2 linked regions of the Rattus norvegicus genome follow. The protein of the gene in region 2 purifies or fractionates together with the protein of the main gene of each other region. This does not show direct contact. Links are inferred from orthologs where the notes say so. Each region holds a gene or a part of one and is shown on either strand. Other genes may lie near its edges.

Region 1 (3,747 bases), about 3.9 Mb from region 2:
ACACATATGAACTCAAAACTAAATATAGGCCCTCGTGCTTATACAGCACAATCTAGAGCAAAGTAACTGAAAATGTAAACCTTTAGCCTAGTTCACGGTTACACTGGTGTTGCCAACAACAGGAGGTAAGTGGAATGCAAAGTATAAACCTGAAACAGTTCTGTGCCAAGCGCTGGGAAAAACAGTAGAACCTAGAAAGACACTTCAGAATGAGAACACTGATGGGACTGAACCAAGGAGAGAACCGCAGAGCCCACTGCATGTTTGCTGTGAACAGCGTATCTCCACGCCAGCCTACTCAGCACACGAGTGAAAATACCCAGGAGGACCTTTCAGATAGGTATTTCTCACTATCCCTGTGACAAAACGCAATCTCTCAGACACAGGAGCACTGAGTTCAACTCCAAGCACCAACATCGAAGCTCACGACCATTTGTAACTCCAGCTCCAGAGATCTGACACCCACTTCTGACCTCAGTAGACACCAGGCGTTTATATGTGCACACACATATGTATGAAAGTAAAACACCCATGTCCATAGACATAAAAATAAGTTAAAATTTGAAAGATATAATACCAAAACTGACACAAAAATATATAGTTCACAGTATGCATAGTTCAAGTAAAATCTTATTTTTTCAGAACTGTATGTAGTTCATTGTGGAACCAAATAAGTTGTAAAACTTCAGAGAAAAAGACAGTTACTTTCTTTTTTTTTTTTTTTTTTTGACAGTTACTTTCTTATGTAATTATGCAGCTAAATTTTACTTAGCCAGAATTCCTATTCTATTCCACAATTAACTCTCACGTTTTGCATTTTGCCCCTAGTGAATGTCAATGCTGGCATAAACTCTGGAGTGATATAATTCTGAGTTTCTTTTGAGGCAACTTTTAAAGTAAAGAAGCTTTTCTAGACTGGGTTGCCCTGGCAGAGGGCTGGCTCTCACAGGGAGAGTCCCAAGAGCAGATGCTGTAGGGTGTGGACAATAAACACTACAACAGTCTTTAAAGTAAAAAACTTTACCGTTCCAAGATTTTGACATCCATGTGGCTCTGGAACAATCTCTCCAAACAGATAACCCTCTCTGGAAAGCTGAGCTCACCTTATAGAAAAGCAGTTCTTGATATCATCGAGATGTAAGGAAAGTCCTGGCAAGCTGCAAAACTTATTTGTTGAGATACAGAGAATTGTAGTATTGAGAAAGTGGCTTACATCAGGCTGTTAAAAGTTCTCCCTTATAAATTCAACCACTAGCTCGTGTTTTGGGGCTGGGGTGGGGTTGTTTGTCTGTTTTCTGAGACAAGGACTCTTCGAGTCTGACTGGCCTCAAACTCAAGAGGTCCGCTTGCAATAGGAAATTACCGTTTGCTTAAAAGGTGCAGAGTTCCTGGTTGTGAAGTGTGTGAAAAGGTTTAAGAAGAAGACCTTCGAGGTTGGGGATTTAGCTCAGTGGTAGAGCACTTGCCTAGCAAGCGCAAGGCCCTGGGTTCGGTCCCCAGCTCCGAGAAAAAAAAAGAAAAAAGAAAACCTTCAAAAGTTTTAAGTGGCCAATTATGTGTTGTATATCTTACCACCGCAACAACAACAACAACAAAAATATATTAAAGTTAGCCTTTGCTGCTTTCCCAAAGCCATCAGTGTCAACCGGACACAATACGAAGGACAAGCGGGTAACGGTCCTAGCTGAGTGGGCAGCAAGGCAGGTACTCGGAGATAAAACACTTGGACAGCCGTTTTCACTGAGCACACACCAAACGCGTTTACACCGAGGGCCGGAGCAGAAAGGACTCGGGTGTGATGGTGCTTTTTAATATTTTGGTGCTACCAGACTTGAGGCTTCCTATTGCCTACGCTCCGAGAACATAATATACTCAACAGCCGACTCCCAGTCATCTACCATCTTCTCTGCCGCATTTTAAACTACGTATCATTCTGTACCAGGAGGCCACACGGTGAGAGCAAGACCGGTGAGTTCACTGTAACCTAACGTTTCACCCCACTCCTAAATGCGTTACACGGCGAGTAAGGCCGCCCTGTCAGTCCCTGAGGGCGCAGCCCGCAAGGCGCCGGGCCCGCGCGGCTCACCAGGTGTAGATCTGCAGCTCGCTCGAAGGCACGTTCCCGCGGGAGAACTCGTCCATTCGGTGGTGGCGGCCGTTGTTGGTGGTGAAGACCCGCAGCAGCAGCGGGCAGGTCTGGAAAGAAGCGGGGAGTCAGCCTCTGGCGCGCCATTTGGCCTTCCCGCCCACCCGTCCGCAGGCCGCGCCCGCCCGCCCGCCAGCCGGCCCGCCGCCTCTGCTCCGCAGCCGCCCGCGACCCGCACCTTCTCGCGGTCGATCGGCTTCTCCGGCTCCTTCTTAATTTCCTCCTGGGTAACGCGCGATTCCACCGCCATCTTCCTCCTTCGGCCCGGGAGACGCTCGCCCTGACCTCCGACCCCTGCGGCGAGCATGAGCTAGTCGTCTCTCGCGAGGAAAGGAGCGAGATTTTATAGCGGACGAGTGGCAGGGCGGGGCGTCGCTCGGCGCAAGCGCACTTTCTTATGTGTGTGGCCACACGCGCGCCGGCGCGTACGTGTTGCCCTGGGAGAGGGGCGGGACGGACGCATGCGCAATGGTCTACAGGCGTCTGTGGGGGGGGGGGAAACTTGTTTTGTTTTTTTTTTTTTTTTTCTTCTTTTTTTCGGAGCTGGGGACCGAACCCAGGGCCTTGCGCTTGCGCTAGCTAGGCAAGCGCTCTACCACTGAGCTAAATCCCCAACCCCAAGTCTTGTTTTCTTACACGTTCACTGTCCAAGTAAGCGTAACGTGACATTTTCATGCGTAATGATGAAAATGTGTAGCGAAGACGAAAAGCTTAAGAATATTCACACGACATGTAAAAATATGAACAAGGTAGTCATAGTGATGACAAACCGACTGGACTGATTTTATATGGACCGCTAAGGTAGACAGGTACTGCAAGGCCTGCAGCCAAATGATACCATTTCCGTAGGTGATGGGGTGAAACCATCTGTTTTGGGGCTGTGATGAACTGGGCTCTTTTTACGTAAAGCGAAATACAAGAGAAGCAAACCCAGTTGCGTGGTGGTACATTCCTTTAACCCCAGCATTCTGGAGGCAGGACAGGTGGATCTCTGTGAGTTCAAGGCCAACCTGGTCTACAGAGTGTCAGGACAGTCAGGGCTATGTAGAAAGAGCCTGTTTCAAGACAAAAACAAAACCTAAAAAAGTACTAGTGGGAAAGACTGATAGGAAAAAAAACAAAACAAAACAAAACCTTCACAATATGCTATAGAGAGTAAAACATTAACCCCACAGCTCCATTTTAAAGCAGTCGCTTTAAAAAAGAATCTAAACTAACAATACGCACATAATGTTCTGAATCTCACTACTGATCCATAGAGTTTGTTAAAGATCTGGTGACTGCTTTTAACAGATTGCTTTAAAAACAAGTCGGATGTAGCGTATGGACAAAAGATAGAACTGACGATAGTGGTTATAGGCCTTGACACTTCTGTGCTCTGGTGAGAAGGCAAGCTGAACACACACTTCGGATTCTCTAGGGTTATTTGATAGTCCTTACAATCCCTTCTTGCTGCTTAGACTCTAGAGACAATCTTTGCTAGGAGAATATTCAGAGGTGTCATGAGAATAGTCTTCACTTGCTATTCTTACAGAGGACCAGGTAACAGTTCTCTGCTTTTGTGGTATTTTGGTGAAGGATGTGGCTGCTTTTTGCCCTGT
Region 2 (3,747 bases):
ACGTTTATGCAGGAACTCTTAGAACAAAGTTTTTTCCCCTAAGACACCCCAGCAGAGCAGTTATAAAACCATGAACTAAGTCAAACTACTTTTCCTATTTCGGGTAAAGAAACAAAGGTCTCTAAGTGTTAAGTACCTTGTCCTAAGTCATCAAGGTTTTAAGGATGTTTAAGAGTTAGTCCTAGAAATAAGGGTTTATTAATACAGTATCAAATTCTTTAAAGTAAATTTGTACCAATAAAAGAGTTCTTGATGAAAAAGTATTTTGTTACATCTATATTCAAAGATCTATATTCAAAGATAACTTTCCCCTAAGCTGATGGCAAGTGACTTCAGATTCTTGTGGCACACTTAATCAGAGTGATACTTTTTTTTTTTTTTTGGTTCTTTTTTTCGGAGCTGGGGACCGAACCCAGGGCCTTGCGCTTCCTAGGCAAGCGCTCTACCACTGAGCTAAATCCCCAACCCCCAGAGTGATACTTTTGACACACTCCAAGAATTCAAAATTCATTCAGTGCTCCTTTGATTTTATTTATATATATATATTTTTTTCTTTTCTTTTTTTTAAAACTCCAGGTCTTTATGCAAAATTGAGGGTGATTAGAATTCAACTGTCTGAGGGCTGGAGAGATAGCTCAATGGTTAAGACACTGGCTGCGTTTATAGAGGACCCAGGTTCGATTCAGCACCCACATGGTGGCTCACAGCTGTCTGTAACTCCAGTTGCAGAGGATCTGACATTCTCTCCTGGCCTCTGTGGGCACCCGTTGGAGGCAAATCACCCACACACATAAAATAAAAACAGACCTTAAAAAAACAAAACAAAAACAAACAAAACAAAAACCCAGTAACTGAGATCACTTGCAATAAAAAAACAAGAAAATTCTGTTTCTGATAAACATGGAAGACACCAAGTCTTCCCATTTACCATTTTCTCCAAATAGCCCATTCTATCTAAACAAACCTTTTTTCTTACCTGAGAATTTGGCTGGAATGCAGCATGGGGTGTTGAGTGTTTTTGTAAATTTTCTAGCATTAGAGCCTGGTATAAAGAAGAGCAAAAATCAGAAACCAGGAGGGGGAACAAAAAAGCACTCCAGATCTCTACCTCTCCCACAGCCTTTTCACTAAATTACTTAAATATACATTTATACTACATTCCTTTCACAGAGCCTAAAAGCGCTTTATTAATATTGTTCTCATTCATCTTCATAAGTCGCTTAAAGGTAGCCATGGTTACTGCTCCCAAGTATACGGATGTAAAATACAGGCACACAAAGAATCAGTGACCTGGCTATGTCACAAAAAAATCAGCAAAAGTGGCAGAATCAGAACTAGAACCCCTGTTATTGTCTGTAATTTTGACTAGGAGCCACTTTTAAATCTGGTAATACAGGCAAAAAAAATTACAAGTACTCAAACAAGTTTCAAATTACATGAAACCAACACTAGGCTGCTAATTTAGATTTGACTATTATTTGATTTTCAGAACTAAAACTACTTAAATGAACCTGCACAATTTCCATCAGTGTTGACACCCAGACAAATCAAATGTACTAAAAACTTCACCGAGAAACTAACCACAGACCTTGTAACCTGTGGTCTGACCTAATCCACACCCACCCACAAACTGTCAGCTTCGGGATAAGCAACGGTCTGTCAACTCAAAGCCTGAACTGACCGAGTCCCTATCAGTATTATGAGCCACGTACCCTAATGAACTCAAATTACACTAGTCCTTCTCACCTTCCTTCCCTCCATTTACACCAAACCAATACACAGTATGTATACCTCACGACAACAAGCTCATTCTCACTGCTCAAACCGATACAAAATCCCCAGCCTAAAGTAATCTGTCTCACCTCTCGCACCAATATTCACCAAATTCTTATCCAGACTGTTTCTCGATTCCCTATAAATTAGACACCCGTCTCTGACAAGTCCTTCTATCAAGGTTTTCCTTCATCTAAGGTTTTAATCTAGTCAAGCGGACATTTTTTACCCTATCCAAAATGTACTACTGCAGACACAGACACCAACCCCATCCGCCCAACTGTATCCCTAACTCGGACACAGCCCTGCTCGCCCCCTTAAGGCCAGCCACACCGGTGGTTGTAGAGGGATTTAACTCCTTCTGCAGCGCATGCGCCGAAAACACAGACACAAACAAGGAGGGGGTGGGGGAAGAAGGAAGGAGCTTAAGACACTCCGGGAGAGTAGCGCGCACCCTCCCATTTTGGGCTCGCGCTGCTGCCGTTAAGGCGGGAACCGGCGTTATCTCTATTCCAGCGCCAGCCACACCAACCACCGTGCGCGTGGATCTGCAGGCTCGCGCTGGCGGCCTGAGAGAGCTCGCGCCGAGCCCGGACACTGCGCCTGCGCCGCAGCGGAGACTCGTCTCTACCAGGTCCGCTCCCCTCCGACACCTCGGCAACGCTGACTTCTCACCCCTTTGAGCCGCTTGACCAGGGCACTCTTCTGCCCGCTCTTGGCTAGGCCTCGCTGCTCCAGTGCGGCCTTCAGGTCGGTCACCCGCAGAGCCTGAAGAGGCTTCCCGTCCAGAGTCACCTCCTCCAGCTCCGCCATCTTGCGTGAGGTACTCGGGTCCGTCCCGACGGCTTCGGGCATCTTCGGTAATTTCCGCCAACGCCCTTCGAACGTACCGAACTGGCCCCGCCCACTGCCATAGTCTACCCCTCTATTACCGCTCAGAATTCCCCGGGTTCCTCCGGAACTGTTCGGTCGTTTCCGTCTCCACATCGGTACCAATCGGCTTTTTCCATCTGCCTAGCGGCCGGCTCCTCCCATTTTACTTTCAGGTTCGTTTGTTTTCGTCTTGCCGAGGCTTTGAATCGAATCTATTCGGAAGCCCTCGAATCTGGCATACCCATAATCGGAGATATTCGGCTATCTCCGGACTTGAGGGCTGAGGCGCTGGGGCACTTGGGTACTTGGGGCTGGTTCCGGACCGGAAGTGCGTGGGTTACTGGGGCTGGCTGTACTTAGGGTTTTCCGGAAACATGGAAGAGACTCGGGGAATTGGAGCAGGAGCTGAAGCACTCTTGTGATCTCTGGGCGCCCTCCAAGGGGAAAAGGGAGGTAAGAGGAAAAGAAATTTCTCCTAGGCCGGATAAGACTTGGTGTCTGAATGTTTTCTTTTGGGGAACCCTTCTGCTTCCTGGCGAAATCTCTGTGGTCCCCATCCTCTATATCCCAGCCACTCGGTCTAAGAAATGCTTTGTCCTGTGTGGCTAAGGAATAAGAGACCTGCTGCTTCCAAACGTGGGAAAAAGTAGCATTGTGTCTTTGATCTCAGACAGCAAATTTATTAATGACATCGAATTTAAGTTTACAGTGGAAGCCATGTAAATGTAAAAAAGCCTGGGTAAATAATTCCCTTTCTCTGAAAAAGAGAAGTTTTAGGAGAAACTTCTCCCTGTAGGGCCACTTTGAAACTGGCAGTCACCCTGAACCGGGACTTAGAACTGACGTTTAGGTATTCTTTTCTTCATGGATACAAATTTTCCAACTCGGAGAAGTAAGAACAGGTAGAAATTTAGGTCCTAGAGAGTTGAAGGTTTTCCTTGTTGGAGATACAAACTGTAGGACTAAAGTATTTTGGAATAAGTTGGCTGACACTTGCATCCATGATGCAAAATGAGTGGTACTTGTAGGCATAAAGCTTTAAGGAAAACTGTTGAGAGACACGTGTGCATCCGTATCACACTTTTTAGGTTACCTAAGTCA

Evidence for each region. The genes of interacting proteins can lie anywhere in the genome.
Region 1: the proteins of Acin1 (region 2) and Sap18 fractionate together in Homo sapiens (co-fractionation; 7 studies listed by BioGRID and IntAct, with this or other methods). This does not show direct contact. The link is inferred for Rattus norvegicus from reciprocal best matches to the Homo sapiens genes ACIN1 and SAP18.

The regions. Positions count from the first base shown.
Region 1 is NC_086033.1:36,057,493-36,061,239, reverse strand, and holds the start of Sap18 (histone deacetylase complex subunit SAP18), read right to left. Parts: upstream 2,457-3,747; 5' UTR 2,454-2,456; coding exon 2,325-2,453; intron 2,197-2,324; coding exon 2,087-2,196; intron 1-2,086. UniProt on the Homo sapiens protein: Component of the SIN3-repressing complex. Enhances the ability of SIN3-HDAC1-mediated transcriptional repression. When tethered to the promoter, it can direct the formation of a repressive complex to core histone proteins.
Region 2 is NC_086033.1:32,114,208-32,117,954, forward strand, and holds the start of Acin1 (apoptotic chromatin condensation inducer in the nucleus), read right to left. Parts: upstream 2,798-3,747; 5' UTR 2,761-2,797; coding exon 2,449-2,760; intron 2,408-2,448; coding exon of another isoform or gene 2,013-2,407; intron 2,002-2,012; exon of another isoform or gene 1,863-2,001; intron 1,043-1,862; coding exon 977-1,042; intron 1-976. Other genes in the region: C15h14orf119 (uncharacterized protein C14orf119 homolog), read left to right, coding at 2,013-2,407.